2 linked regions of the Drosophila melanogaster genome follow. The protein of the gene in region 2 purifies or fractionates together with the protein of the main gene of each other region. This does not show direct contact. Each region holds a gene or a part of one and is shown on either strand. Other genes may lie near its edges.

Region 1 (16,713 bases), on a different chromosome or scaffold from region 2:
CAAAATTGATTTACGACCATTTCGGTATTTTTTTTTTATGCCTCTTCGAAGGGGGAGGAACACTGGGTAAAAGCTGAAAGTGCACTCAAAAAAAAAAAAATACAGATCCAACTTAAAGGTTATAATAACTAAATTATAACTTCTATTATTGAAATGTATATCATTCAGCTGTTATATGCCTGAAAGTCGAAGTATTTGTTAAAAAATGCCCGATAGCATGTCGAATTTCTCCCAGTGCATATATGTAGAGTCATAATTTCGTACAGCACATTTCATTTCAGCAAATGAAGAATGAACATTTGACAATTCAGCAGCACTTCTCAATATCGCTCGCCATGTGCGACACTTTCCCCCCTCCCCCCAAGTGTCCACTTAACCCCAGCAAACCAGTTGCCCAATAATCCGACTCCTATCGGTAAGGGGCCCCAGATTTATGCCCCAAAATGTTAATTACCCGTAACCGATCCCCGGCCGCACTGGCAACTCACGCACAAAACCAACCAATCTTCCATTGATGATAAGACAGGGTATTCTGTTGCACAAACAACTTCCCGAAATGAAAATAGGTCCGCTTTTGGATAGCTCTATTGAGATTTTACCGTTGACAAAGTCGCCACGATAACGCTTCGGTTTTAGTTTAGTACTTCACGCAGAAAGTGATTGGGAAAAAACAAACATCGTTAAATTTGTTTCGGGGAGGATGCATACAAATTTGTAGCTCGAAATTCAATTAAAGGGCCACCAGTAAAAAGATATTTATTCATAGGATGAGATATGCGAGTATGTAGGAATGGGGGATGGGGCAAATGCTGGCGGTTATGAGAGATGAAATGAAGTGTTATGCCGCCCATAATGAGACTGTGACCGATCCACTGGGATAGCCGGAATCCAATTTCCCAATTTCCCGAAACGGAAAGTGAATTTCCCATGAAGTGAACAGCATCATCAGCATTCAACAGGGAGTACCAACGTCCACTTAATCGTACTTGCAACTCATTAAAGTAATTCGATCGTTATGAAATTTGATTGATTGCACGATAAGGGAGTTATCTGTTGTAAAGTAACACTTTATTAAAGGGTTGCTGCTGATTGGTGGTGGTAAATATTTATAAGAACCTTTAATGTTGTATGATGGTAGAATTTAAGAAAATGCCAGATATTAGGCAAACATGAAAGACCACAAATATTTGCACACACACAATTGAGAAGGGTGAGGAAAATGCTTTGCCAGTTGTGGTAAGTGGAAAAGTTGAAAAGTTGCTCGGGCGGTGGGTGGTGGTAGACAGGCAAATAATTATGGCAACTGCAGTGCATATGCAACAGAGAGGGAAGCCTAATGAGACAGAGACGGGCGAGCGGTTGTCATCCAACAGCAGACTTTACAAATTAATCCAAAATGCAAGTTGTAGACGCGACAAAAGGAGCCAAACGCAAACAATAACAACAACAAATTATATTAAACGTGTGCTGAACACAGTGGCGTAGTTGGGGTTTTCTTAAGGGGCGCACCTTAGGTGCCAACTAAATGAATATTTCACTGTTTTCATATACCGATTTCGGAGGGGTTGCTGAAACCCCTTTAACCCCCTGGCACACGCCTATGGCTCCATGACTGTTGTTGTTTTTATTTTCAGTATTTGTTGCTATTTTTACACTGCGCTGCACCATCAGCCGTTGAAATTGTGACATTTTCCCTCACTACGCATATTTTCTGGTTGCAGCGGAAAATGGGGAAAATGGCTGGGGAAATGGAGTAGGCTGGCAGGAAAAGCGGTGAAAAGGGGCCGCGGATCGTGCGCATTGTGGACCGTCTCACACAAAGGACAGCGTCTGTTCGGCGGCTCTACAAAATAAATGTATTTTCAATTCCAAAGTGAACATTCAAGCTATGCGATTTGCATTTAAGTCATAAAAAACATTATGGGAAACTATAGGTAAAAGCTGTTTATTCATAGTTTTCTTAAAAATAAGTTTGCAAACTCTATGGCTTGTTTCTCAAGACTCAATTGATTTATCTTTAAAGATGGTTCGTTTGTAGGAACCTTTACTGTAGATATCAGTTTGTGTATCTAAAATGTGTGATTCCCCTGCTGTCTGCATCTCCATTTCTCATTTTCTCCCCCCTTCTCCCTACCCTTTCTCTTTCTCTGTCTCGACTTATGTTTGCTGCCGAGTGACGTCGTTGTGGCAGATTTCGCGGCAGCAATAGGAAAATTAAACAAAAATAAATGGCAGCAAAATGTTTGCAACATGCCACTGCAACAACATCAACAACAACAACAACAGCAGCAGGACCAGCAATTTGTTTACAAACAGGAGGAGACCACACAAAGGAAAAGTGACCATAAAATTGGTTCGAAATTGGTTCTGGGTATGCACAAAGTAATTGTCAAAAATAGGCGAGAATTGAAAAAAAACTTCAAAAGAAAAGTGCCCGAAAGTATGAATATATTTTTGCAGCAAATTGCTAGAATATATGCCAAAACCATTAAAAATTTAATATACATGTCGGAGAAAGGAAACTTTTGCTAGAGGAAATTGGAAAGTTACACGATGCATTTGGAAGTCAAAGGAAAATAATTACATGCTTATGCTTACTCTAAAGTACTATGTGAATATCATTCAGTTGATTTCTACAAATTGCGCATTAACTTGCAACGCTTTCATTCGAATTGAAATATCCCTATTAAATCAGTGGACTACAGTGAACCCTGGTTGGTGTGCCTCCATCTAGCGACTGGAGTTCAACGGAAGTGCAGTGAACTTTTATACAGTTATTGTGGCGGAACTTTGCTTTTGAGTTATCAGTTGGCAGCAGCTGCTGCCATTTCATTCCACTCCAATTCCAGCCGCAACCCAACCCATTCCATTCCATTCCTTCCCACTGTGGCTATTGTGCCCATACGGCCCACTGTGCACGGTGGGGCTGGGAAAGAGGTAACAGGCACAAATGTCATTTGCCTGGAGCTCGCTTTGTTTACGTGCTGCTTCTTCCGTCGTCGCTTCCGTTTGATTTGGCAGCTTTATGATATGGGGGCCCTAAAGGATTTTCACGCCTCCCAAAACAAAAGAAGCACTCTTCTTTGGCACTCGAAAACAAAACACTCAAAGCTCAGTGGCGTAGGCTGAGTTAGCTATAGAAGGGATCTTTAAGGACATCATATCAATTCATTCATAGTTATTTCTCTTTTATTTTTTATTTATCTTTATTTTGAGCTTTAATTTATATTAATTCCATTAGAGGTTTAAGTCAGGGGGGTTTTAGTACACCCTCTCTCTTTCCCAATCCCCCTTGTGCGACCAACTCTGATAAATAGCACCAACTGTTTTTAATTGCGTCAAATTGTTGAGTTCCCTTCGACGCACTTCGGACTCCCTTCCCCAGCGCCCATGTCCGCCGTGCCGTTGTTGTTGTTGTCTTTTTGTTTACACTCAATGGCCGCAATGTGGCGAAAAAATAAACACACACACTCGCACACGGGCACACACGCGGAGAAAACTCTTACGCACATGGCACGAAAATTGGAAAAGTGGGAAAAGGTGGGGGGAACGCCCAAAAACAAATGGGAAAGTGCAGCTGGACGGTTGGCAAGGGGGAGGGGGGGGTGCACAAAGCAGGGAAGTGACGCGACAATCTTACACTGAGAAAAAGTATTCCCAAGAACCCGAAAATTGAAATGTTTTTCGAAGCTCTACAACTCTTATATTCCCTAACCTAAACACAATATTTATTATACTTATACTTTTCATACCCTTCGAAGTTGCACATGTAAATTTTTTCATGTGTAGGGACACATATTTGAATATTTACCCAAGCAGGCATAGACTTCGTGTCGTCGTCAACAATGCAATGAGTTAACCCGCTCCTTTTCTCTGACGCCCTTAAACCATCCACTCAATTCCCCAAACTCCCCAATCTCACCCCATTCCATCCATCACATATCACCCAATTCCTTGGAGTACAAATAGTAAAATAGACCGGGAATTATGAAAATCCCTGGATGAGCGAACCTACTCCCAATTTTTATTGTTGCTGCATGGCATGAAATCCCCGAAGGCGAGGGTGCTTAAAATCGGGAGGAGCGATGTGCGTCCCCAGGGAGTAAAATAAACCCATCAACAGCAGTCAAATGTCGCCAACGATTCGGAAATTGCAGCAAAACAGAAGCATACACAACAAAAAAAAAAACTTAAAACTAACACTTAAAGCATAGAAAGGACTTAAAAAAAAAATACACCATGTTGCGAACAACATTTGGAATTAAAAACTCCCCCTCGATCGTAAAAAAGAAAAAATTCACATACCCTCAGATAAATGGTTAAATCACAATTGCTTTCAAATCAGTTGTAAAATTCGAACACTTCAATTTACTGGTAATAAAAAAGTAACAAAGGAAAAACCCACAAATAGATAGGACAGAACGCGACCCATTTTCTTTTGGCGTTTTACTTGTCTTTCAAGCATTTATTCAATGCAGCTCATAAAAAATCGACATATGCAATGAAAAATCGCATAAAATCTGAGAAAAGAACACACATGGTAGATGTAAAAGACAGAAGGAATTATCCACTATCAATTCATTCCCGATTTTTGTCATTGGACCTCTTGTAATAATCATCAAAATTCCATAAATTTAATCGCCTCATAAGTTCGAAATATTTTCCATGTCAGACGTGATCTTTTTTCGATTCGACCATCACAAAAAAGATGAAACTCTGACCTCAATTGCATTTTTTCACCATTTATTTATCACCGTGAAAATGTATCAATTTATTGCCAAGACAAATGTCATTTAATCAAAAAAAAAATGTCTAAGATGTTCTAGCATTTTATTTTTTTAATTTATTTTGGTATTATTTTACCGAAATAATCCTTGGGAAGCAATGCAAATTTAGATCGTATTCCCATCGCCCGCCTGTCAACGCTGACAGTATAATCTGTTGATCTATTATATCATTTCGACATTTTTCGAGTAGTTCCAACTCTTTTTACGATTTCCAATGTTTTGTCGTTGATTTTATGGGCACTTAATGTGCCATAAAAGTGGACAAGAGAGTGAGGGGTTCTTTTTTCGATTCCAATTGGGGGGAGTTGTCATCTGTTTGATTTTGGGCCCGATGTTTTTGGGCTGTTCGGTGCATTGACATTGAACACCTTTCGATATTCTCAGGCCTTTGTTTGCATTCGAGGGAGTCAAATGAGCAGTCAAATCAATCGCTGCAGTTGTTGTTTCTGCTGTTGTAGCTGTCATTACTGTGTAAACAAGTGACATCTGGTCATCCTCCCCCCTTTTTGATCCCCCCCTTTTGGATGAGTACACGCCTCTGTTTGCCTTCGGATAGGCAACCATCCACAGCCACCAATTGCAGATGCATCTACATACAAACGTGCGTGCCATTAGGTTTACACAGGGGGTCGAAACAATAGGAGATCAAATGTTATGTTTCAACAGGGAAATAAATCTCGAAAGGCCTTCAAGCTTCCACTATGCATACACTTGAAAACTAAGCAAGACCAATTATAATGAAGCCTTAAGCTAAACCTATTCAAGCTGCTATTATCTTGACCACTGCTGTACGACTTCATCTAGTCATTTGGCATCAATTGACGATTGTCTGGCCCAGTAAGCGCATCCACATCGACCAACTGCCACCAGCAGAAGCTGCATTCTGGCCAGGCACTTGGCCTTATCTACCAGATACAATCTGTGGCATTCCGCGCAAGAAAATTAAGCAATGAAAAGGGGCAACAGCAACAGCAATAGCAACAGTTGGAGCAACAACAATGCGGAGCATCAGAAATATTTAATTAAATGCTTAATTACGCTTGCCATGCCATAAATTCATCAAATGCAATTTAAGCCCGCGCACACGAACAGATGCAGATACTTTTGTATCTCCTGCGCTTCTCTACTTCACCCATAGCACATCGGTATCTGGTTTCCTTCTCTTCTGGCCTTTTCATTCATTGGAAAGTTCAACTGCAGTTGCAATTGGAGTTGGGCCATCATTTTACGCCGCTAATGCCTTAACTGGCATAAATCCCAGCCGCCTTTTTCCTCGCGTCCATCCTGGCGGCACTTTTAGATCATTAATCCGCGAAAGATCAACGGAAAAGCTGAAAATAAAAAGAGAACAGCGTTCGCGGAACGGCTTTTAAGATCCTCAAAAAGGGGTGTCCTATCTAGATCTCAACTTATGATAGGTCAAAGTTGAAACAGTAGCCATGGAGGTGGGCGAAACTGATACTCTTTTCTTCCAAGCTAATTTATTATAGGTACACCAAATTCTCGGTATTTCTCTTTGAGATTGCGCAATCCATTCAATTAGGTCTTCCTTCAATTGATGGGAAATGCATCTGATCATCTGCTTATCTGATCAGCTCCAATTAGTCATGATATATAGAGCAATATAGCAGCGAACCGTTGAACTTCACTGATTTGGCAATCCAATTCGATTGCCATTCGATGGCCGGGTAATCCATCAAACTGCCTGCTGATCCTATTAAACCAATCGCTGGGTAATCAAGGGTCAGGTCACCCAGCTCCATCGGCTCCATGGGGGGTTTCTTTATTTCTTTGAGGGAAGGGGCGTTGCAATTGACAAATTTCGAGCGATCGGAAAATGAAAACGAAATGCGAGCAATTACTTTCAATTGAAAATGTCAAACATTGTCTTGGCCCACAAGCACACACTGAGCGAAAACTATATTTTCAACAGCACTTGGATGCTTGGATACTTGGATATAGAGATGCAAACACACCGTCGGATATTTGTATACAAATCTATATCTAAAGTCAAGCACTTGAGGGCCAAACGCAAGCACCTTGGGCGGAAATGCGATAACCCTGAGCGGGCGGGGAAAAGACGGAAAGTCGGCAAGTCGAAAAGGCGGAAAAGCGGAAAATGGGAGCGCACATGTTGGGCGCTTTTAGATGATTTTTGGCTGGCTATCTGCTGTGGAAGGAAGTGGGTTGGGGGAAATGGGAAAATTGGAAAATTCGAAGATTGGGAAAGCCCCATCACTTACCGGATAACATGGGCGCCAAGGCAGTGTCCGTCGGCGGATGATGGTGTCCATTGAAGGAGTTGTTGTGCGACTCCTGTTGCTGTTGTTGTTGCTGCTGTTGGTCCTGTTTTAGGGCGGCCGATTTTCCGGGCACACAGCCACCAATGGGCTTCTTCGATTTCCACAGTTTCATCTTGAGTTTTCTTTTCTCCAACTTCTCCCCAAATGGGAAAACGCAGCGATCTCTACGATTTTTCAACACTCATGGCAAATTTGGCATTTTCACAAAAAAAAAACTGTATATTTAAAAAAAAAAAAAAGGTAAAGTAAATTTAAAAACGAATTCGGTTTCCAATCGATATCGGGAAATTCGAAAACAATTTGGAAATTCAACGGCTGCGGCGGCGACGGCGACTGCGATGCGACTGAACCTGACGATGCGCGCACGTCCGCGGAGCACGGCCAAAAGTTGCACAATGAGCGATCTTGCCGCCAGTACTAGAGGTGGTAGAATTAACGATGTAACATCGATAGTATCGATGTTGCAGAACATTTTTGTTAACTTTGATGTTGAATTTTGTTATTGAATCCTTTATTGCAAATGAGTTTATATTTTTAGATAAATTTGTAGATAATAGTTAATCGAAAGTTTTTGTATAACCCGTATTAAATGTGTGTATGTATATATATGAAAATAAATAAGTAATAATAAAATATATTTGTATGTTTTAATTTTCATATTTATTAATACGAATACGAATGCACACAAAAAGAACAGAAAGAGTAATATTTTTCGTTTATTTTTCGATAGTCAATGTTCTCGCCATAAAACATCGAAAACATCGACGGCGACGAGCATCGATGTTTTTCCAGCTCTAGCTCTAGCTGCGTGACTCACTCGCGAGGAGAAAAGGAAGAGAAAAAGGAGAGCGAGAGTGGTGCGTAAGCGGAGCGCTTTTTGGGGAGTTTTGGCTACTGGAGAAAGAGTTTTCTCTCGCTCTTACTCTCGTCCTCTCTCTGGCAGAAGAGTATCCCATTGGGGAGGCACTCAAATCACAGACCGCCACTCCAAAAGCGCCGTTATGAGCCCGCTGATGAGCCGCAGGCATGACAATCAGCTGCTTCTGTTAACCGTTAAGCGGTAGTCCGAAATGGTTAATGGTTTAGTGTGTTGGGGGAGGGGTGACTTGGGTTTTGGCCTGTGACGCCAAACGCCAAACAACGAACGCAGAAAAAAATGCTCCCAAAACGGGTGTCGCGAATTTGCTAATTAGTCACGAAAAGCGCGACGGCAACTGCTCGAAATGGTCAACAGAAACAGGACACAACAAAAACCGAAATGAAATGAACCAAATCGGCAGCACGCAACCAGTGAGCACATCTGCTGAAACCAACAGCTGGTATTAGCCATGCACTAAGCCAACTAGAAATGGTACAAACTTAAAAGGGCATTCAGGAAAGTTACATTTTGAAAGTTTAAAACATAAAAGCCAATTTTGATCTACAAAATTTTAAGTTCACCTCAATTTAACATCCGATTGTATGTTTTGCTCTTATTTATTTTACAATTGTATATTCGTTACACTGGAATGTTGTTTGCATAACATGTCAATGCTGCGATCAATCAGATTTTGGGCAAAGTAAATATTTCAGCGGGTGTTCCCAACGGATGCCCCCAAATCCTGACCCCGAGGGCGATGACATGAATACCGTTTTCCTCTTGTACACCTATTAATACATATTTATATGTGCCTTAAATCCGATTTAACTGCAAGTACAAATGTGGCCACCTTTTAGGTTAAAGCTGCGGATTTATGGGTGACTTGGTAAGGCCCATTCCGCCCCCAAAATATTTCACATACATATGTATGTATGTGCATACATACGTACATATAAATTTATTTTTATGCGATTCCCTCTTCCGTGTTAAATGCTCTCTTCCTTTCTATCTTTTTTTTTTTGGTGGCTCGAGGTTTAATGTCTTTAATGACCTCGACTAATGATCGAAGCTGATTGATTCAGCAGAAACGTCGAAGGCACTCTCCAAGTTTGTCTGCCTTATTTTTAGATCCCCAGCCTTATATGCCCCATTCCCCACTGCCCAACCCCGTACGAAAAATTTAATTCCCAGTCCAAGGTGTCACTGCTGCAGGCGGAGAAAGCAGGACGGAGAGACGCGGATTGACTGACGAGTGCCGAGAAAATCGGGGAAAACTAATGCGACACATGGGAAAAATGCTCGTTGAGCGCACAAATGAAAGCACTTTCCGTTGCCTACATTCAGGCTGAGAACTCAAATCGGAAAACCAGGAACTACAAAAATATACATATTTCACTCTACATATAGTAACTCTGTTTATTCCACTGTAACGGAATAACAACAACTGTTCGATGAGTTTTTGTCTTTCGCGCGCTTTCCGTCACTCACAGTATTTCTTTTCATTTTACAGTTATACTAGAGCTCTCTCACGAAGTATAAATTGGTTTACAGTTACGAACAAGAGAAATGGCACACCAAAAGTAATGTGCCATGTGAATGGATTGAATATATCATTGTAGTTTAGTATCACTAGATACAACAGTCCCTGCAATCCTTGCGAAATGATTTCGCCAAGCGTGTGTGCAGCATTATTTAGTGTGTTAGTGTTAAATAGCTATATCGCCCAAGTACAAAGTGAATTATCAGCAGCAGAAGTCGCTGGAGATCCGAGTGCTGCCCAGCTGCTGCCCAGTTCCTGTCGCAATGGGTTGAATGGCAGTAGCTCTGGCCCGGAAATCCGTCTGCCCTTTGTGGACATGATGGTGCGCCATGAGAAGCCACTCTTTGTGCTCCGCGAACCGGAAGAGGATCTACTTTTACTGCTCCATGGACACGAGATTTTTCAGCTGCACGTGGCCACTGGGGAGAGGCGTCTAGTGCCGCTTGGTTACTTGGCGGGCCAGGTCAGTGGTCGCAGAGCTCTCGGAGCAGAGGTTGTGGCCTGGCGGGAGTTCCTGCTCCTTGCCATCGTTCTGGATGATTCCATGGAGGTTTACCAGTTGCCCAAGGAACTGCTCCTATCCGAAGATCCAGCCACACAGGTGAGCTTTGAGCCCCTCCAGGAGTTCTCGCTGCCAGGTGCTTTTCTACAGCTGCACCTTTTGAAACCCAGTGGAGATCAGGTGCTCCTCCTAGTGGCCTCCAATCACACCAGATCACACAGCAAATGCAGGTTGGGATTGGCATACATTTTCAATTAAAAATTGATTCATTATTCATTCATAATATTGACGACTTCCTCACAGAACCTTTGAGTGGCTGGACACCTACTTTAATCCACTCGAGGAGATCACTCTACCCGCCATTCGCGTTCTCCAAGTGGTTGGTCGTCAGCCACTTTATATCATTTTTGGTCGTTCTTTAAAGGGTTCCCAGTCAAAGGTGATATAACTTTTAATAATTTAGATGGTTCTTAATTCATTTATGTTTCCCTCTAGCTGGTGCTCACAATCTACGAGCTGGATAGAAACAGCCGAATCCTGCAACAACGCCAGGCTTTGACAGTTCAGGCGCAAAGTGTCCAAGCTGTTAGATTTCACGGGAGGAACTGCCTCATCGCCTGTACTTCCTCTGCATCTGCCTCGTGTATTTTCTTCCGAATGGTGGATGGACAATTTGTGGTGTACCGAAAGCATGCTCGAAAAGATTTGAGTTTCCGTCGATTGAGTGCCACCAAAAAGGGTCACCTTTTGATTGGTGCCCGTGCCAATGGCGAGGTGATCGTCTTCAGCTCCACTCGCCTGGATTGCTATAGTGGATTTCAGGTGGCTGGAGAAGCGGATCCAAGTGGATTACTTATTCATAAAAACTTGCACAATGAGACCTTTCTTTTGCTGGCCTATCGAAGATCCTCGAGTGATCTGATCCGAACTGTGCAATTGGGTGGCGTGGAAGAAATCTCCAACCAAGTGGGCGCTGCTCCAGATGAAGGTACATTTAATATAACTCTGTAGTGGAAATTTGAAACTAGTGATTTTACAGATCTAAGTGTTGTCCAATTGCATCGTCACGAGTTTGAGGAGTCCATCAATGCCTTACGTGGCCTCCTGCTGCGCCGTCGTTCCTCTACAGAAAACCTGAGAAACATTGTGGACATCTTAAAACGCAAATCGGCCATCCACCTCGACACGCCACTGCATCTAGTGCAGCAAGGACAAATAGGAAGACTTCAGTTGGTGGACGAACATCTGCGCACGCCCACCCAATTAAAGCAACGCTTGGAGGAACTTCGTCAACGATTTAAAGCGATCCAGACCAGGCGAACCACACGCTCTTTTGGGACAGGAAACGAGAACGATGAGCCGGAGACACTCAAAGCGCGACGATTGCGCGTGGGCAATCTTATCTACAAGGGACAGCTAATTTCAGGCAAGTATGGGAATTCAGGAATAGAATATGATATAAATCTTTTTTTTCTTCCTAATTTACAGGCCACATTTTGGATAACTCAAAACCACCTATGTTGACCATCAGAAACAGTCCTTTGCAGACGAAAAAGCTTAGGGTAAATCAATTGGTTACTCCCCAAGATTTCCGCAACTCCAGTGGTGCCCAGATTGCGCCTGAGGAAACCAGTGGCAGTGAATGTGTAGTTCGTCATCTCCGAGTGGAACAGATAAACGGAGTGCAGTGGAACGACTTTTTGGACTCGCTCTTCCTGCGCAGTCGTGACACTTCGATAGAAGGACGCTTGGTTATGCAATCGCGAGTCCGGGTGAACAGTCTAAAGACACCTCTGCTCAACGGACTCGTGGTGGATCGTCTCTTTAATCTGCGGCGTGCCCAGGTGATCAGTTCGAATATCTACATGTCCGCCTTCTTTGCTCCGCGTTTGGAGGCTCAGCAAGTAAATGGACTTGACTTTGCCCACGATGTACTTCATCGCGGTAGCAATGATACATGGATAAAAAGTTAGTGTCCTCCTTGATATATTCCATTAAATCATTTAACAAATCCATATTTTTCAGCTCCTGTTCGCATCAATCAGATGAGTGTTTCGGGTGACATTTTTGTGGGCAATACGAGCAAGTGGCAGCCACAGCCCAGACAACTCGACGATCCAATGGAACAACGTCTTCAACAGTACTACACGGGCAGGGTAACCATCCGCGGATCCCTGACGGTCACAAATGTCCTGCGAGACACGGCAAACTCACTTATAGTGCTCGGAAACCAATCTCTCGCCAGAAAAGATATACAATCTACGTACCTTCTTGATCAGACGCCACAGGTTGAGATTCAACTTCATTTAATTCACTTTAATGACAATAGTCTTTCCGCAGAACCTCACTAACTTGACCTTTGGACATGCCAGAGTTAGTGTTCCCTCAATGACCACCAGTTATGTTGACGGTCATCCTGTGAGGGATCATCTCCTAAGCGGAGGACAGCAGAACCAACATACTCACCCAAATAACACTCTACACATTATCTTTATGAATGCAACCATACTGGGCGATGTTATTTGCAGGGATTACAGTTCCCGTTTGGCGGAGATCGCAAAAGATGCAGTGAGTCATGGAGACGCTGTTAATATCACGGGGCACAAACACTTCCAGGCACCTTTGACTGTTCAAGCACTTCAAGCCAATGAAATAAACGGAGTACCTGTTAGTGAAATAGTGGTGAAATCAAACACCACCCAAAACTTTACGGGTACAAAGACCTTTGCCCGTGTGGTGGTGGCGAATGATATCAACGTTCATGATCATTTGAATGTGAGTCATCTTAATGGATTGCCATTGCAACAGCTGCTTGGTCACGATATCAGCCTGCAACGCCTCGAACTAACCGAAACCCCACATCTGGAGAATCTTCATTTTCGGCGACTTAATGGATTGCCCTTCGATGAACTGCTGTCCAAAATTTCGGAAGATGGTGAACAGCCCCTACTTCTTCACAAGCAACTATTGATCGAAGGAAATGTACGATTTGACAAGGCTGTCCAAGTGCAGAACATTAATGGAATCCAATGGGACGAGTACCTAGATCGCCTGGTGAGATCTGATTCTAACGCGGAAATACGGGGTAAAAAGACATTCATGGCCGATGTCCAAATAAATGATGCCCTGCAAAGTCCTCACATCAATAATTTGGATCTAAGTTCCCTGCTCGACAACACCTTACTGCGAATGACACCCCAGCAAATCAGTGGTGCTTACACTTTCGACCGCATGATGGCCACCAATGTGGATGTAAATCGAATAAATGGGGTACCCAAGGAGGAATTTATAGACACACGCAAAGACTTAGAACTAAAAGGAGATCTTTACCTAAAGCAACTGAACATCAATGGCAGCCTAAAGTGTCCCTTTGTCAATGAGGCAGTTTTAAATGATCTCAAGCAACGAGTGGAGCAAGTGCAGCAACTTCCCTGGCGGAATTTGATAGTCACCGGCGATGCTCTATGGGATGGTGAAGAGCAGTCCCAATCCCAGCTAGACTACCTACGCCAGCATGCAGTCAGGAGAGTGGGCAACCAGACCATTGCCGGACACGTTCTACTGAAGGAACCCTACTTAAAGGATATCCAAAGTAAGCATTCCCTGCCAATTGATCTTAACTTCACTCAATTGGCCGAAGATGCCCTACTTCGCCGGAGCCCCACAAACGAAACCCAGGTGATAACAGCTCCGCAAGAGCTACAGGGATTAGTTAGAGCTAATACTCTACACTTGGAGCAGGATGCACACTTTGAGCTGGTAAACGGAATCGATATACGACGATTCAATGCCTCACTGTACCGCCTCTCCAGTGGAGAAGCCATTGCAGCGGATCTTCACTTTCATCAGGCTCCAAAAATAGGCAAACTTCAACTGGAGTATCCAGAAGTGAATGGAGCTCCGATACAAAGTATATACCAGCAGGGCAAGGGGCAATCCTGGCCACCCGTAACGTTCAAGAACCTCTTTGTCGAACAGGACCTGAATCTGAAAACCGTAAACAACATGAATCTGGACTACTTTCTACAACATCGCATTCCCTTAAAGGGAGACGCATTGGAGGTATTCGGTTCACTGACTTTTGAGCACCTTCAGCTGAGTGGAAAGCCTCTTCTACGTTCTATCAATGGCATTCAATTGGATAACTTGGTGTTTCGGCATAGCAATCGGACGCAGAGCATCACGGGTGCCAAGACTTTTCGTGGAGGAGTGGAGTTCACTGGACCCGGTCATGTGATGAATCTGAATGGACGTGAGCTTAGCGAAAGTTTCAGGGGCAGCATCTTTCGAAATAAGGACTACAACATCGATAGTCTAGTTCTGGACAAAGCTCTCTTCCCAGGTGGACTAGTTTTAGCAGGACTTCAAAGTCAAATTCCCAATCGAATGCGAGCGACGGAAGTGCAAAGCAATCCGTTAGAGGAGTTTCAAGAACTTCTAGCATTGGGTAATCAAACTTCGCCTAGGAGGCTACTTTACCTGGATCACGACACCGAAAGTCTGGAGTCTACTTGGGTAAAAGGCCCTTTTAGGGGATCTTCGGAACTGCAGGTGAGCCTGCCCTTGGGTTATTCTGCTCCATGTCAGCGTAGGACTTTACAAGCCAAGCTCCTGATCCACGAACGTCGCGTCCTCCTGGCCAACTCGAGTGTGTCCAATCAACTGATGAGACTTCACTCCGGAGATATCCGGGTGAAGGTGCAGAACCACTGTCATCGCCCAGCACGAAGATTGCGCAGCAGGATCAGAATTAGTTGCCGTAATGAAACGCATACGCTGGGAATGCGTCAATCAGTGGAAGCCATGGAACTGCTGGAAATGGGGGAAATGGTGCTGCTGCTCTTGGGCACCGAGGAGGAAGTTCGTGTCCTGCGTCTGAAGAGGAGCAACTGTAGTCTCACCGATTGGCAATCCGTGCTACCAGCAGATGGGCGCCTTATGAAGTTGGTTCGAATGGGGGTAGAGTCCCGACAGGATCTAATACTCACCAGTGGCATGAGTAATCATCGTCCTGTCCTGGCCATCCATTATAGGGATCCCTTAAATCATAACTTCAAAATGCTTCAGCTGATCCAGGGCTCATATGACCTGGCAGAGATGCAGGGAAACCAACTTCTGGTCAGCTGTTTGGGTTGTCGACACATAGCTATCTTTAAACGGTACTCTCATTCCGCGGAAATTCTGTTTGAGCCCATCCAGCAGTTGAGCTTCCAGGAGCGCATTCAACAACTAACTCCATTCAAAGTTGGAAATGAGCAATATCTATTGGTAGTAACGCAGCCGGAGGAAGAACACTTTTACCTCTTCAGCTATAATGAAGTAGGCGGTTGGCAACAGCGTACGTTTGGCATTAAGAAACAGGACCAGTGGGCGTGGTCACTGGTGAAATCTGGTCAAATGCTTGAAGCCGCCGAGACCCCTATTCTGCTGCTCTGCGGAAAGAAACGGGAATGTAGTCTAGTGAAAGCCCTACTGGGCTAAAATCTGTATCATATTGTAATCTATGTGTATTTGTACTGTACATAATTATGTTTATTCTATGTATCTTAATAAATTGTTTATTTTTGTTGAATCAAAATTGTATTATTTCTTTGGGAACGCAAAGTTAACATATATCATTGGACTTATATCTTACTAGCACATCTTTACAGCATAGTTTAAAAATGTCAGGTGCTAATATGGCTTAAGAAGATTATTCCACTCATTGGATCGGATCGAGATTATCACACTCCTCGGCATTACACTACTGAAAGGCCTTGGATATCTTACTTGGCTAGTTTCCCCCATGTTTCAGATCTCAAGGCATCTTAGGTTGAAAAGCTCTTTCTGCTGATGGTGATCACGTAGCCGGTGAATACCAAGAATCCCAAGATGCCCCAGATGGAGCTATTTTGATTGCCACCGTCCCCAATCTTGGCCAGTATCCACTCCACATGGCTAGCCACGTCCTCGAAGGCTCCGTCGATGCTTCTTAGGCCCAACAAACGATCCCGTTCCGTCAGCGTGGCACCGGCATCCATGTAAAGCCGGCCACGAATGTAGTTGCTGGTTTTCGGCTGGACACAAATCCTTGGCGATTTACTCTGATGCTGATGGCAGGATGTGTGAGTGGCATTCAATGTGACCAGATCGTGCAGCTCGCGAATATCGCCATCATAGCCCCAGGTGTTAATCTGTAGAAGATTATGATGATCCGAGTCCAGGATGGAAGTGGCTCCAGGAGTAGGTAGACCAATTGCTTGAATATATGGAAGATTCTCAGGCACATCCTTGTCCAGCATAAGAATGGCAAGAGCCAGGTCCTTTGGAGGCTGGTGGATGTGGGTCACTCCGAATACGAGTGCCTGCTCATTGGGCGCAAATCTCTGGGGGCTTCCGAGCACAACTCGCAGTTCTGACGGATGGTAGTATGACTTTTTCACTTGGCTGTTAAGGTGAATTAAATTGTGAGATAGCAGCTCGAGAATAAAAAGATACAAATTTTACTCAACTCACCTGAAGATGCAGCTAGTGACGGTTAGCACAACAGAGGGCGCCACTAAAGCGCCCGAACAGATGTGGCCCTTGCCAAAGTAGTCCCGTTCCAAGGTCAACAGTCGTATGGATGCCTGGTGTGGAGCCACCATCTTCAGCTGAAATCCTTCCTTTCCATTTTCAGCTGCAATGGCATCCATTTCGGCCAGGCCAATACCACGTTTGGCGGCCAAATCACGATGGGTGTA
Region 2 (17,150 bases):
CTCTTTGTTCAATCAACAAGTGTTAGAAAGATGTTTAAAAATGTTGAAATTGTCTTAATTTATAGATACTTCTAATACTTCTAAATAATGTTCGCTTTCTTATGAATTCTGGTTGTGGTGATTAAGTTATGAATATCCTATAATATATAGAAGTTTCACGTTTCTTTTAAATTTCTTCTAATTATACATTCTTTAAACTGAATTCAAATGACAGATATGGATACATTTGCAACTGATGGAAACAGATACACTGACCAGTGCACATAATGTTGCAAGAGCTGCCGCCAATTTGATTGGCAACCGCGTTCTATTGCAATCCGTATACAAATTTGTCCAGATCGGTGGATCGTTTTAGATCAGGCCATCAGCTGTCGGGCTGTCAGTCAATGTCTGTCGAGGTCACTCAGTCAGTCAGTCAGTCATTTATCAGGCTATCTATTGAGAGCCATCTTTTGTATCTTGATTTGCGTAATTAGTTGTGGGCTTGAGTCGAACGTGTCTTTCTCGGGAACATTCGTATCTAAAAAAAAAATAAAGCAAAGAACCTGACAAACTTCGAACGTTGTATGAATAATTTCCCATTTCTCGTTTGACTTTCGAGTCAATCCCACCTCGTAAAAATTGCATGATTAATGATTTTCTACATTCTGTCGTATGCTTGTGCAATAAATTATTTCGGAAACAAACATTTGTCAAAACATGGAATTCAACTTTGCGCGAGACTCGATAAATATTTTAAGAATTTCTCTAACCACCCTGCGGGAAAATGGAAAATGTTTGCTGGCCATTTGTTTATGTGTGTTTTAAGCTGCTGCTAGGAACGACATATTGACCTAACCCACATAGAAATCGTTGGATAAACATGAAACAGTTGCATGCGAATGGCAGACAAGCACCAGACTGCCGGATAAACAGGCACAAAGCGAAATGGGCAACAAATGGTCAACTATGGATGCTTCTTTGGCCGTACCATTTTGACGCCAATTAGCAGCAATCAGGCGTTAAAAGCGGCGGAAAACATAGGAAAAACACTTTCCCATCTGCGGGCCCAGGCAGTTGACCCACATTAATGCTCGGCTGCGCTGTAAATGCTACTTTTTCATCTTCAGATGATGCGCGTGCCTCAACGCAAAACAAAGGCGATCCAAGATGCGGAGGCGTCTTATCGCTGGCCAAACAATAACACGGAATATGGACGCGGAATACGTCACCGCACATTTGAATACCCTCCAAAAACTCCGCTGTTGCGGATATAGAATGGGGGCATGAAAGCTTTTAAGGCCTAAAAATCTGCATAATGTTTACATTTCCAACAAACTTGAAGATTCTTCGTTTCTGTATCTGTATATTGTAATTGAAAAAGAATAAGTACCTTTATAGTTGGATATACGATCTGTAAGGCAAACATTGACCAAACTCAATACTTAAGTATTTGACTGTAAGTGGAAAATCGGCGATTGCAAGATCTAAATGCTTGTCAAAAATTAGCTTTCTTCTTGTTAATCTCGCGCGCAATAATCACCCCTTTGTGACGCCAAACACATGCCTTTTCAGGAAGTTGGATGCTCAACAATAAATGCAATTTGCATCAACAAAATGTGGTGCAGTCGGAGCGGAGCAGCCTCAACATCAGCATCAACATCAGCATCAGCGTCAGAAGTCATTCCAAATGTCGGGCGGCAACAAATGAGACATCATCAGGAAAAGTCTGTCCAAAAATGGGGAAAACTTCAGAGGCGAGCACACGACACAAGACTTATGGCCACAGATGCCGGGCACCTCTCCACCCACTCGGGAAAAGCATAGGAAAACCCCCGACATCAAATGCAACTCCCCTATCAAATGCTAAATTTATGTTTATCTTTTATGCAGCACGGAGGTGGAGCTGGCTAGGTAGCCAGCGAATATTTATGTTATGGCCAATGTTTATTTTATTTGAGTTATATGTCGCTCGGTGTCCCCATAGCTTTGGAGCTATTCGGGTTTCTATAGGTTTTATGATCGTGTCGTTGCTTCGCTTCTCGTTTTGGTCTTTAATTAATTCTCCTTTGGTGGCCCGCCGAAGTCGCTGTTCATTAAAACTTTATCTGACATTGGCAATTTATAAATTATTTTTTCCTTTTCGTAGTTTTCATTTCACTAATAATGTCAGAGTTTATTAGTGGAGCTCGTGATTTGTGGGCTTATTACGTGATCTTGAGTGGATTTTTGTTGGCTGTGTGCAGTTAATATTTATGGAGATGCGAGTTCTGCTTACGGACGTTAATAGGCAAATTGATGGTCACACAAGAGATATGCTTTATTGGCTAAGAGATTGAGGTGATCATATAAGGATTTCTCTTGAATAGAGCACCACACATTAAATGTTGTTCAGTTTGCTAAATCTTTACTATAAAAGTAGTATCTTAGATATTTCCCACAGATGAAACCCATTTAAGTTTTATTCTACGAAATATTCATTCTAAGGAATCCCCAAAGGCCTTCTAAAATTTTTTAGCTGGCCATAATCATTGCAGTAATTCCTGTGATCTTCCAAGCAGTCATTAAAATAGTTTCCTCACCCCATTCACAATCGCGTCCACATTCTGATGGCCCTCGGATGGCTTAAGAGATCAATCTAAATCAAATAAAAACCGCACTGAAGAGCCCCATTGAGTTGGCATTTCCCTGCCGCTTCCCTTGTTTTATAATCTCCAATGTGCGAACATGTGTCGCTATCGCCAGGGCCTTCAGCATAATTAGACTCTGGGGCCGCATAAAATTCAATTACTCAATTATCTGCGATGGGTAGGCTTCAACTATCGACAATTGAGCACCGCATCGGCAAGTCATAAAGACACATTTTCTCATGACTCAGGGGGATCTAAAAGGAGAACACACATTGTCGCCAAAATAAATTATTGTATTTTATATGCAGGCAACCGCTTTTTACTGCGCCTGCAGTTAACATTGGGCATGTGTTGATGTTTATATTGCAAATGCAAATGAATAATCAAGAGGCGACACACAGCTAGGCAGATGGCGCGAACCAGATACAAATACGGATACAAACGTGTAGATACATTTGTATTCACACAGTTCTATGTTAAATTTGGCACAGCGCTTTGCGCGTGTAAGTGATTTACATTTCACGTATAAATAAAAATATATATTTAAATGTACACATAAAAAATGAAATCTGTATATTTAAAAGAATATACACAAATTTTTTTAAACAAATTTGATAAGTAGCGCAGAAACTACGGGCTAGTGAGCGAATGTAGATATAACCCATTTCAAACAGTATATTTGCATTATATCCTTGGTCTTATTTATTATTGTGTACAAAATGAAAAAGCAGACTAAAAAAATCGAGGAAAACAATTTGCGCCTGCCGCGAATGATTCACGTTTGGCTTCTTAGCCCCCAAGTGACGTCACATCCCAACTAAAAATATCATTAAAAACACATTTACGCCAAGACCAAAATATATCTCGTACATGTGTGTCTCCTGACTGTGCTGATAGAATGAAAATTAAGAGCACGCCTGACTTTGGATAGCTGTGGCGGTGCACCGCACAGATACTTTGAGTTTTTCAGCTTCGGATACTCTGCGTTTCCCCAGGGCCAGCAACAACAAAAGGCAGCAGAGAAGCAGAAACGACGACGACAACGAGAAAAGTGCGCCCCAAGTCAAATGTCAAGCGTGAAAAATGCGTTAAGTGCACTGCAGCGGCGCATTGTAGTTAAGTAGTTGGATTTTATGGGCCGGCCAGGGTTGCCATGGAGCATTGCGAATGCCAAACGGCGGGGATAGCTATACAGAAAAATATCTGAGATAGATAGCAACAGGAAGGAAGCCCACAGCAGACAGCGACCAGTTGGTCGAATTAGTCAGAGAAATGGATTGACATAAATCTTTCAAAGTTCAACAGGTCACCGTGAAATACTCGTGGGAATAGCTGCGTAGCTGATTGTTTCGCTTTAAGTGTAGGGCAAAACATAAGCTTAAATTCCTCGAACTCTAAGGCATTGAAAATATTCCTTAAATACTAGTAAATCTTCCACAAAGAGTACAAATTAAATATAACCTCTACTCTATCATAGTAAATCCAATTATTTAAAATATTTTTGATATTTTAAAGTTTCGTACTGTACTTTTCAATCGAAATTCCGCTTAGTTGGCCCACTGTATCTGCGCTATGGCGCACGCGAGTAACACCAAAATGTATGTGGCACTGCACCATTTGCAACTCTTTATTTTGACTTTTATTTATGTCGGCTTCGATGGCAGCCAAAGTAAATGCAATTTGGCTTCAGCTGCTTCTGCCTCTCTGGACCGCATTTTTATTTTTTTTTTCCGGCCAATTCGTGGCTGGCCATATTTGTAATGAGCATAAATCGTGCGTTGATCATTTGCCATGATAAATCTCATGTTTATGCGCGGTATTAAGTTCTGGGGCGCGTATCTCTGGCTACCTGACTGTCGTAACATTTAATTAACTGTACGTTCTGTGTCGCAGCTTCTGGTTACCTGGTTTTTATTAAAAAAGTTAGTTTTTTCGAACTCACCTTTCATGGCTGCGACAGTTTGCAATTGCAATATGGCGAGCCATGCCAGCCACAGCCATCCGAATCCTAATCCACGGAGGCGCGACATTCCGTTGCAGCTGCTTTGAAGTTATAAACGCGCGAAGATGGTGTGCGGCTGCTGGAAAGGATGATCGGATCGGATCGGATCGGATCGGTTTGGAGGATGGGGAACTGGGACTCACAGATCCGGAACCTCAAGTACCACTCGCGCTTCGTTCGTTTTCGTCTTTGTTTTTCGTCTTTAATAATTTTGCGTGTTAATTGATTTTTCATGGGGCCACGCATCCGTCGTCGTCTTCGTAGTCTGGGGGCCTCATAAAAATAGCATCATCGGGGGCATCGAGACATCGGAACATTGAGGTTTCCTCTCTAACAGCGGCACAGCATCACGTCCTGGCCCGCTGGCCACATAGACAGATGCTGCATATCATTTCGTTGACAGAAGTCATGCAGGAAGGGGAATCACCTCGAACGTTGCCACCGACTGACTGGCTGACTGACTGACTGACTGACTGTCGCACTAGCTTCCTTTGAAGCGTCTGCTCCTCTTTACTTCCTCGCCCCTTTGAACACACACTTTGCAGCCAACTTTCGCCCGATTACGTTTCAATTTCGTTCGAGTTTTATCATAAACACATTGGACACTGACGACTGATGCGACTAGTCGTTTATTTGTTATTTCTCTTGGCAACTGCTTCACTTCACTGTAATTGGAAATAGATTTATGGGCATTACGCATTTGCTTTCCTTTTTATTTAAATTTTCACTGGTATTTATATGGCACGTTTTATGCATTTATAATTGGTCAGTTGGGTAAATGACATCTACTAGATTTGAACATTAGGTATTTATTAATAATATAATGGAAAATGATTATCACTACTCCATTAAAACTTTATAATAATTTTTCAATCCAGTTATTTAATGAATTCATTCGCTGACTCGGCCATGTTTATTTTCATTGATTTTATGCTCAATTTGATTTTATATTCCTCGGTTATTATATACAGCTTCCACTTGAGTCATTCATTTGCTATTTTAATTGCCATAGATTTTAAGCCAAACAAATCTCAAATAAATTCAAGTACCCGGGACCCCGATGCTTTGGGGTTACTTATGAAGCTACGTATGTATACCATTGATTAGCGTATCTACAGATACTTTATGGAGACTTAATTGAGTTGCTGCCGCAGCAAGCTGAGGCACGACTATGCTCCTCCACTTCAGTGGAAATTGCTGCACAGTTGAGTAAAATTTATTGTATTTTTTCGGTGGTGACGGAGTGGGGGGATCACCCATAAAAAGTGGCCTTAAGTGGCCGGACAGCTTAAGCTCTTTCCCAGCAATACGAGGGATTTGGTCTTATATGAAGTGGAATTTCTAGTTCAAAATTTTGCAACACCAGTCAAAGTTCATGGGCCTTGTTTCGGTACGGTAGCCGAGAAGTGTTCATAGGCCCAAAATAGGCACTCTTTCAAGTTTAGAATGCAAATCGAGAGGGACTTGTAATTTCGAAGGGAGACGTCCCCAGAGGAAAAGTCAACTTCGGGCGACGCCGAAACGTCAACAACTGTGACTGGAAAATGAATTATTTACGCCGGGGGTATCTAAAAATACTGCGCCAGACTCTGTTATGTTTATGCATTTATTTCCCAAGGCAAACTGCAGCACGAAACTGCGGCAGGTTCGACATCATGAGGTCAATTGCACAGATACTGCCTCCAGGAATATCAGTCGTGGTGTCTTGCATTCTCGTTAAGTTCGCTCTGCTAATTCAGCTTGTTAATTTTTATATGCACCGCCCAAGTTCTTGTCGTTCCGAATACTTTTATAGCCCGTCGCAGCAGTCAAAATACAATTTGAAACGCCTTGCCGCTGCAGACGACACCGAAACCGAAAAAATAAAGTGACAATCGCCAGGGTGCATTTTATGACAGACGCGTGTTCCCTCTTTCCGACCAAACTTTTTCTCCCCATTAACATAAAAATTAATAAATGTATCTACCGGATAGTCGGAATCTGCCAGCTGCCGCTACAAGCACTTTGGGAAAGTTCTTTCATACTAGTTTATATTTTTTATGGCAATTAAAAATTGGTGGCACACAAGCTTTTGTGAAAACAAAAGGCCAACAAAATACCGCTCTTACCGAATCTAAAAATTGATTTGATAAGCCATGAAAACGGCGTTTTCATTTGGAAAATTGGTAGGCGTCGCTACCCACGCCGATTTGTACGCTTTCCTAACTCAACAAGAGACCTCCAAGGTGTGCGGACTTTTCCTACTCCATCTCAGTTGCAGTCGTTGATTTAGTCACACTCTTTTCGGGCACTCTGATTTATGATCGCCGAGTACTGCGATTGATGAATGGAGTTGTGCTCTGGTGCGATTTCAGCACCATATGTCACAAATATGAATTTTATTGGTGCATATATCCACGGGCGGAGTCAAATGGGTACAGTTTAAATTTTGGGCAATCTTTTAGCAAAAGGAAAATTTTAAATAATTTTAAACTTTTTTCTTATGGGATTGGGTATATTTAGTTATTATTCAACTTTTTTTTGATACTTGAATGATTCTTGAATGTCATTTTCAAGATTATTAATTTGAATTAAATTTAATTCAAATATTTTTTTAGTTGGCACACAGTTTCTGTTTTTCACATTGGGTTTTCGGCAATTATTTTTATTTTCCCAATTTTGATTCATTCATTTTCTCGACTTTCTGTCCGCGATTTCAGCACCTCATTTTTCACACTCTGTATGCCTTAAAATTAAATGATTTATATTTTGCCTAGCTGCTTCTGCACACAGTTTTCGTTTACTTCCGTTGAGATCACTGACTTTGTTTGACTTAGCCCTTTGGCAATTTTCACAGAATCATCAGAATGGGCGGTATTCACGGTCAATTTGCAAAGTTCTGTATCTTTTCGTATTTTAAGATTTATCTACCAAACGCACAACAACAAACGCTTTCATTCACAATGAGTTTTCAGCCGGAATTCTTGACAGAACAGTGCCGACCGTAAAAATGGGGAGGAAAGCCAGAAACTTAAAAATAAATTAAGTTTCTATTTCTTACACATATCCACTGGCCCACTCACGTTTGGAAAAACTCTGAAGGGGCGTGCGGTCAGAGTTTTCGGCGTTTTCCGATTGCCGCCACCCGCGCCAAGAACCAACCGAATTTCCCGCTTTCCGATAAGCAAACGAACCGAACACGCCGACGATTTCTCACAGACTGAGCCGAGAGGAAAGAAAATTCCGCACGCAGTAGTGCGCTCGCTCGAAGTGCCCAATGAGCCCCGGACCAGACCCCATGGTTCCCGTTCCCTGAAAGGCCGCCGATGCCTCCGATGTCGATTTGGTGCCACCACTCCATGGCGCACCCGCGAGTGACTTTTGTGCGCTCTGCGAACGCGCGAACGCAAACGCGAACGCGGCCCAATATGTATCTCTATCTAGATAGCAGTGATGAGCTGCCCGCTCGCGCAGCCAAGGGATGCGAAAGGGATACGTCTGGGAATCAACTGGCTGATCGGAATGAATCATCAACATTAAGGACTTTATAAAAAACTCATTTAAGGATGTTATCTTAGAGAAGACACCATTGTAAGTGTACGTTTTAGTCAGAGACACCACTTAAAGTTTCAGTATGTAGTAAGCATGGCTTTCACAATTATTTGCATTTCTTCAGCAGAAAACGAATTTGCATTGTCGTCATGATAAAATAGTAAACTTTTTACTACTACACAATTGGCCCTGGAATAAGATAAGATATAAGAGGTACTCACTTACTCATAACCAATATAATTTTTTCCAGGACTATACACAATTTAAAACTTACTCTCTATATGGTTCTGTGTGTCATTTATTCTTGGTACTACAAGTGAATCATTGCTGGTAAAGTGAACACCACGCACAATTTTTGGCATCATTAATTCTATACTATATGATTCTCTGAAAAACCATTCACCCGTTTTCCAAATTTGAAAGACTCTGTGCTCATCACTGATACACCGCTGATGACACTCTGTTGTTCGGCTGCTCATTTTCATTGCTGGTTGCTCTCCCCGTTTTCCCCCCTTTTCCTTTTCATTTTCATTTTCCTGTGCAGCACGCGAAAATACGCGGATTGAGCAATTGCGAGCGCCAAGAGGCTGAGGACTTGAAATTTTTCAATTTGTTTAGCGGTGCTTGGACGCTGCTCTCTGATGATCTTCATCTTCATTGTGGATAGCAGGGGTCCCATACATGGTAAAAAATGTCCAATTATTGTATAAATTGTCGAAGAAAGTTTAGGGAAATGATGTACTTAACCAAATATTAAATCATAGTTATTCTTCCAAGGTTTTCACACAATAAAAATATTGTATTGCTTATAAAAGACTAGATATAAGTCCAATTATGACAGTGATTTTTCTTTCGGTGCACCCACACATGTGGCTTCAATTTGGCTGGGCCATCGTCTTTGCCTTCGACTCTGCCACATGTTGTTTGCCTTTCTCTGGATGTCTCTGGATGCCGAGTGATAAAAATCTCTACCATTTTTCATCAGCCTATTAAGTTACATAAGTCACACGGTCCCTGCTTGTTGTTATGCCCACCGTCTGCCCTGTTGTGTAAATATCCTTTTGGCGTGCTAATGAACCCTTTGACACCAGGAACCAGCAAACGGCGACCCGCACCCAGCGATCATTCGACCTCCCTGACGGCTCTCAAAAATTCCTACTGACAGCAGATGCCACATAAATCAGGCGCTGCGAATGAAGAATTCGCCGTGGTCAGCTCATTAATAAATTAAGTGCATAAAATCACACAAAATCACCTAGGGAAACTCCTAAACCAGCTAGTGCACCGAAAAAAGTCAATCGTTTTGACGAAAGATTAACTTTTTGAATCGGTCTTAATAAGATATGATTTGTCAAATTAAAATAATTACGTTGAAAGCATAAGTGGTAGTGGCTCCTTAATTGTGGGCTCTATTTTGATTTTAAGCTGATTTCAAAATAATTTACACTGTTTGATTTGGGGTATATCGAATTTTTCCCAGTGTGCCTTCTATTATTCGCCCCCTTTTAGGGCTGAGCAGAGCAACTGCAGCGCGAAAGGAAACCCTTAGGGGCTGTTCCTGATAACGGCGACAGCAACGACTCCATATCACGCACAATTTGTGTTCGGGAAAATTGTTCCGGAGGAGTGCCGGCGAGAGCGTCTACGTGGATCTAGGTTAGGCCACACAGCTGTGGCATATGTAAAAATAAACACATAAAACTGCACTTTTACTAATTGCTCCAGGGAAGCAAAGAGCACCACCGTTGAAAACAGAACGAGAAATGCTGAAAATGCCTTGTGTGCAATACCCAAAAACATTCGAAACAAAATCGACGATAAAGCCCCAGTGAGACAGATACGCAGTCAAATGTTTTCCGAAAGTATTATGTTTGTGGCAGGAAAACTTCAATGTTCACGTGCTGTTTGCATTCAGTGTTGTCAAGTGGTAAAGCCATATTTCAGGGTATTTGCATAGACTATCATAATCATAACACTAATCTTAACACTAATAGATAAAGAGCAACTCTGCAAGGGTTATGGGTCAAAGTTCTATCACCCAAAACGGGGCGTTTATTATGAAAGAATATTGGATGATGGAGAATGCATACAGAAAAAATGGTTAATTTATATATCTTAAAGATTACTAATATTCTAACGACAATTTTTAAATATTTCCGAATCCACTTTAATGAATTACTCCATTAGATATGTAAAGAAGGCAAGTGAGCCATGAAGAATTTCCAATCGAGGCCTTCCTTGTGGCCACTGGTAGTGCTATCTCGAAAGGAAGTGGTAAGTACATCTAGCATAAGTACATTCCAAAAGGCCCGTGCATCCTTTTACGCCTGAACAGTTTTTATAGTTGTTTGCCTATATGTAACCAAATGCTGGAAATTCCTGTGAAATAGGGGAGTTCCTTCGGCAGTGAATCACTTTGAGGGCGTGTCTAGTGTTCTGGTTCAAAAGGCTATGTTGTGTTAAGGTAAAGAAACTAGGAAACTATTTATATGCAGTGACCATGTAATTTGCTCATTAACAAATTGCTTGAGTTAAAGCCCATCAGAAATACAGCAAATAATTGAGATTGCGGGGTGGTCACTGAACCATCGAGTATCCGCAACCACTTGAGTTCTGTTTACAACCCTTAGAGTACCACGCATTGCGAGACCATCTCGTCTGTCACATTATAACTCAATTTTAAATTGTGCTGAATTCTGCTTTCGACATATTAAATTAATATTGACACATTGACAGCTGCCAAAACAAGATTCTCTCCCTTCAAGCCTACAATTTTCTGCCACTTCGTGGGCACTTCGACCACCCGCTGATTTCGTTGGATTCGAGTTTTTCCCGATGCGGGTTCGGATCGAACTTCTCAAATTCGTTGACTAATCATGCGCAACGTTTGCTATTTGGGTGAAATTTTTAATTGCCCCGCGCAACGCAACGCGATCGAATTGAAAGGCCATCGTTCCGTGGAAATTGTCAGTGTCATCGTGGGCTTTGGTTCCCATTTTATGCTCGATGGTGTCTTTATCTAAAGCGCGCCTGGATAAAGCGCACGTTGCCTTAATTGATTGATAGATACATAGATAGATGCAGACTAATGGCTAGCATGAGATACAAAGGTCTCGCTTCTATGGCTTTGTTTGATTTACCCTAATTTGGCCGTTGGGTGAAGTGCAAAGTAAACATTAAATTGGCGCAAACTGACAAATAGTGCTCTGTATTTTAATACCATTTTAGTACACTACATTTGGGCTGGGCTTTGGGTATGAAATCGTTTATGGTCCAGTTCCATTGATCACAGCAATCCTATATGTGGGGTTTGGTGTTTTAGGCAATTTGTCGTTTGCACCTCGTAAATGATTCAGAGTGAATCATTTGATATTGTCGCTAAGGGTTGCAAGAAGATAGATTTATTTTCTAGTATAAAAATGTATTTCTAAATATTTCTAATAACTTGATTATTGACTGTAATGCCCGATCATTCAATTAAATCTCTTTAAATGACTCTAAGCCCCTTTAAGCTTGTTTGAGAACTTACCTCTGCAGAATTAAAAATATTTAATGATTTATTTAATTTGCCGCTGATTTAATGAGCTGTTTGCTCCAGCACCATTTTCTTCTCGCTTTTTTCCGCCAACATTTTTGTTACAGGCCATTCATTTTCATTGTGGCATGTCCACTGCGATCTTATGAATGAACATTTTCTTTTTGGTTTGGTGGCCTCTCCCGGCGATCGCTCGCATCAAAAGTGCCGTTCTTGGCCATGTCTTGAGTTGCCATCAAAACTCCGCCTGGAGCATGGTCGTCCATCATCGTCGCCGGTTTGGGTGAACGCCCACGCCCATGCCCAGCCACGCCCTGCGCCCCTTTCGCCCCTTTTCGAGAGTGGTTTCAGCTTTTTGTGACTCGCTTCAATGAAGCGTGCCAATTTTCAATGAAATGTTTCGGCCTCTTGTGTTGTATGCCCTTTTTTTTAGACGACTTTGAGTTCTTTCAGCTTGCCTTATATTAATTCCCCTCTTTTTCTTAATTTGTTGCATGTTCTCAGTGGGCTTTATGCCATTTGTGTTATCTTGGCATTTCTCCTCTCCATTTGTTTGCTTACCATAAAAAGTCAACAAACATTAATTATCATTAAATGATATGACTTATCGTGAAGTGAACTTGACCGCTTCCAAGGTGAATGCACAAATAACAGTGCATTAAATTCGTGTTATACATGTAATGTACCCATCAAAAATGTCGGGTTTCCTTTCCGTTTGCAAATAAAACACGTTTTTAGCGAACTCAATCGATGGGCATTGTTTTAATTCTGACGAACAAGGAAATGCGATTAGTAATTGCCCACGGAAATCCCCTGGGAAAGCAACTGATACATAGAAAGTCGTGATTTATTGCAAGATCCTGAAGTGGTTTATATTTTAGTAATTTATTTTTTTATTAAATTCTTAGTTGATAAGAATGTGAATGGCTCATCGTTGCCAAATGATAACAATAAGTTACAGAACCTAAAATGCTCTTATAGTCTCAATGATACTATTTTTAAAACATTTGTCTTTATATAGGGATATATAGGGATATATCCAATAATATATTTCTGGCAGTTTACCGATTTCTTTCTTGTTTACATTATTAGTTTTAACTAAATAGGGGGATCACTGTATCCTGATATCAGAAAACTTCTTTCTATGCTCCTTAGAAGCTCATGATTGATTTAATAAATTACCAATGTTTTAAAATTGGTTTCTTTGTTTTGTCGATAAGACCCAATTCTTGTTTGGCTTGTTCGTTTTTTGTTTATTGTTGAAACTCGCACTCTGATGAATTTTTTAACTCCGTTGTCGAAAGTTCATTGGCCAATTGGCCAATTCTATTTCGCAGTACAAATTATATGTTTGCAATTGCTGATCTGTCGACCGACACGTGAGTGGGCATCTGTGTATGTGTAAGGAGGGAAACTGACAGGTAATAATAATTTTGGCAACACTTGCAATCAACTGTATCAATATTGTAATTATCCCAGCACACATACGAGACAATCAAAATCAAATAAGATTAGGGCAAACAATGAGCGTCGCCGGTTGATTCGCCTTTGTATTTTTGTATCTCTGTGCCAGGGCGGCACTAACACTCGAATCCCACAGATACGTCTAAGCTTTTGCTTGTATATGCATTTTGCATCTGCTGGCGTCGACTGAGACTGAGACTTTGACTGAGGCTAATGCTGATTAAGTTGAGGTGTTCGGGGCTTTGTGCCGCCGAGTTTAGTGATAACCGCACTTTGGTGCCCAACGGTCGCGTTTCGGGCTAAAATTCATTTTGAATTCGAAACGTGCTAATTTTGTTTAATTCCAAGTGCAAATATTTTCTGGTGCTATTGCTGTGAGACAAAGGCAATTGAATACACTTAAGGTTAATAAATAAACAAGCAATATAAATCAGACATTAGAAAAGCGAAAATAAATAAAGAAATCTACAATTCAGGTGCTTAAAAATAAATCATACAATAAAATATTCATTATATGAAATTGAATTTTCTATTCAATGATACGATTCTACTCAATAATAATATTAAATAATTAAATAAATCCCTTTGGATTTGCTTAAACGTGTTTGCATAACACAACAATTTTTGGGAAGCATTTGATTACCAGAAATTCCAAACCATCGAGAATAATAAATCCAAAAAAGTTTGCAGCTCCAAGAGCTGGATTTCCACAATTTTATTTATTTCGACCTAGAAAATATCATTAAAGATTAATAGGTTAGTTTAAATTGCTATAATTGTACTAATTAGGTCATTAAAAAAATCGTAACCAGTTTTCATTGCATTTTTTAATTCCGGTAATGTAAAAGGGCTTAGTTAAGCATTATAAAGTGTATTTTGTTGAAATTTTTGCAAAATAAAGAAGGAAAAAAAGCAATTTCATAATCACCAAAACTTTCACATTCATCTCACACAAAAAGTTTTACTTTCAAAAAACATTAGCTTTGACCCTTTTAACCATCAAGTCTTTTCAAGTGTTACAAGATCTATCCACCATCCCAGCACTCAAAATAATTAAAATTAAGTAATTTAAATTCCCCAACTTTAAACAATTAGCGTTGGCACGTAATGAACAAATTATAAACAATTATGCCATAATTTGCAACCTTGACCAAAGCCTCTAAAAACTTAGTTACATAGCTTGCATTTCAGTTGGAATTACATACAACAACAAAATGCTCTCAGCTGTAGCTAATATAAGGAAATAGAATTTCGCTTTTAAGTATAACAGTAAAATGCAATGCGAAATACGGGCTGTGATGACAAAATTATTTCCACATGCGATTTATCAGCTCGCCTCAATGACGACAACTTGTTGCATGTTTACTTGTATTTCAGTTCAGCTTTCTGTTACAGTGTGTCAACGTAAATACAAATAAATTCCGGCTGGAAATAACACGCGCTAAACTGTTCAATAAAATTAAATATTTAATTAAACAAAATCCCATAAATATTGCAAATGGTTACACTTAAGCTAAATGTAATTAAATTACGAAACGTTAAATCCAATTAAACCTTATTTGATTTCGACGATTTGATTTATCTTAAGGTCGAGTAAGCACGTACAATCTTTTTATAGTTTACGTATTTTGACCCACTTTCTGATAGCGAAAAGAAAAATAAGATTAGGAATGGGTAAACATTATAAAACTTGCATGATGTTCAGGAATTGTACGATGTCTGGAAATTAACACCTTAATGATGGTATAATGGGAGACATACCATATAAGGCGGGTAAGCTAACAAGCTTTCTGGTCCACTTCAATATTAATTGCTAATTTTAAAATGATGAAATTACCGTGCTGCATTTCAATCAGATTAAATTCTATGACAGAAAGCCAGAGAGGTGTGTTCATTTAACGGACTGAGTGTATAAGTCGCTGAATGCGAAAAAGACCAGATCAGATATGAATTCCATATTAGTTGCGTTACAGATTTAATATTTATTTATGCCAAGCCAACAAAAAACATATGGCCGTATGTTAGGTGTTCATAAAAGTGTTGAGCTTAATTAATTATACTATTGTAGCAGTTTCCCTTTCATGTGCAGCATATTCATTTTCCACCTGATCTTGCGATCCATCAAACCAGAAATCTCATCAATAACACTATCATTTGCAATCAGAATGTGCAAAGTAAAGTGCTTTATGTAAATAACGAAATCAAACACCGAACATAAACTGCAGCTAATGTTAATTTGACGCTAATAACGCGACTTTTTACCCTACTCGGCGTACTGTTTAATTGATGTTGTTAATTGTCCATGTTGATTTCAAATCAGATGGAGATGCAGCTGCAGTGGAAATGTTGGATGTTGATCTTCCTGATCGGTCTGCTGGAATTTGGAGCTGGCTCCCGAATACTCTTCATGGGTCCATTTCCAGCTCCAAGTCATTGGCTCTGGCTGGAGCACTTCCAGAACGATCTTCTGCGTCAAGGACATCATGTGACCAGTGTGAATAACCATCCCACCAAGCATCCCCACGAAAATCTGACGGAGATTATCATTAGTCCCTCTTTTGACATACCCAAACACTGTGAGTATTATACATATATAAATAGCATGAAATTTAAATACATGACTTTTATTATTTTAGTTCCGAAGGAGAACATATTTTCGATGCAGTTTGTTAGCGATTTCAACAACCTAGAGCTCTGGTGGACCATTGGACTAATGACCACGGAGCACGCTTTCAAGGATCCCAAAGTGAAGAAGCTGATTGAGAGCAAAGATGATCACTATGACTTGGTCATCATAGAGCAGTTTTTCCATGAGGCCTTCCTGATGTTCGGCAAGAGGTTCAATTGTCCAGTGGTCACAATTGGCACCATGGGTTATGCTGATAATATAGATCACGCAATGGGCATTCTGACGCCTTGGTCCTTGATTCCCCATCTTCTGCTTTCCCATACAGATCGTATGACCTTTGGCCAGCGAGCTTATAATGCCTACTTATCTCTGTACGATGCGGTCATGAGACGATGGGTGTACCTGCCCAAAATGCAAAAATTGGCAGAAAAGTATTTCCAGGGATCAATTGAAGGTAAGTTAGCATGAGATACCTTAATAAACATAAATTTATATATTACTTTTGTTTCGTTAAAGGACCTCTACCTAATGTTCTTGACTTGGAGCGAAATATTTCCCTAGTCCTGATTAATGCTCACCGTAGTATCGATCTTCCGAGGCCAAGTATGCCCGGACTCATTGACGTGGGTGGGGCGCACATTCAGAAGCCCAAACAACTGCCCACTGACCTCCAGAATTTCCTGGATAATGCCACCTACGGAGTGATCTACTTCAGCATGGGCTCCTATGTAAAGAGCACTGATTTACCACAGGAGAAAACGGCGCTGATTCTCAAGGCATTCGGCCAACTCAAGCAGCAAGTGATTTGGAAGTTCGAGAACGATTCCATTGGTGATCTGCCCTCGAATGTGATGATCAAGAAATGGATGCCCCAGAACGACATTTTGGCCCATCCGAATGTCAAGCTCTTCATCACGCACGGCGGTATTTTTGGAACCCAGGAGGGTATTTACTGGGGTGTTCCGATGCTGTGCGTACCCCTGTACGGGGATCAGCACCGGAACACTATTAAATCGGTGAGGGAGGGCTATGCCCGATCGCTGGTGTTCTCCAAACTCACCACTGATGACTTGGTGCGGAATATCGAGACTCTGATCAACGATCCCCAGTACAAGCGCAGTGCTCTGGAGGTATCGCAGCGATTCCGCGATAATCCCATACATCCGCTGGACGAGGCCACCTTCTGGATCGAGTACATAATCCGGCATCGTGGGGCGCGGCATCTGAAGTCCCACGGCGCCTTCATCCCCCTGCATCAGTATCTGCTCCTCGACGTCTTGGGTTGCCTGTTGCTGGGCGCATTTCTTGCCATCTGGCTGCCATGGCGGATGATCAGGAGGGTGCACAAGTGGTGGCTCAAAGGGGAATCCTCTAACAAAC

What was found.
Region 1: the proteins of kon (region 2) and Grip purify together in Drosophila melanogaster (affinity purification with western blotting, with the first as the bait; 2 studies listed by BioGRID). This does not show direct contact.

What each region holds. Positions count from the first base shown.
Region 1 is NC_004354.4:5,957,055-5,973,767, reverse strand, and holds the start of Grip (glutamate receptor interacting protein), read right to left. Parts: upstream 7,490-16,713; 5' UTR 7,203-7,489; coding exon 7,031-7,202; intron 1-7,030. Other genes in the region: fs(1)M3 (female sterile (1) M3), read left to right, coding at 9,611-10,221, 10,295-10,430, 10,487-10,979, 11,031-11,417, 11,480-11,959, 12,017-12,279, 12,332-15,472; CG6067 (uncharacterized protein), read right to left, coding at 15,799-16,417, 16,487-16,713.
Region 2 is NT_033779.5:18,496,162-18,513,311, forward strand, and holds the start of kon (kon-tiki), read right to left. Parts: upstream 7,818-17,150; 5' UTR 7,652-7,817; intron 5,277-7,651; 5' UTR 4,640-5,276; coding exon 4,552-4,639; intron 1-4,551. Other genes in the region: Ugt301D1 (UDP-glycosyltransferase family 301 member D1), read left to right, coding at 15,462-15,717, 15,778-16,224, 16,287-17,150.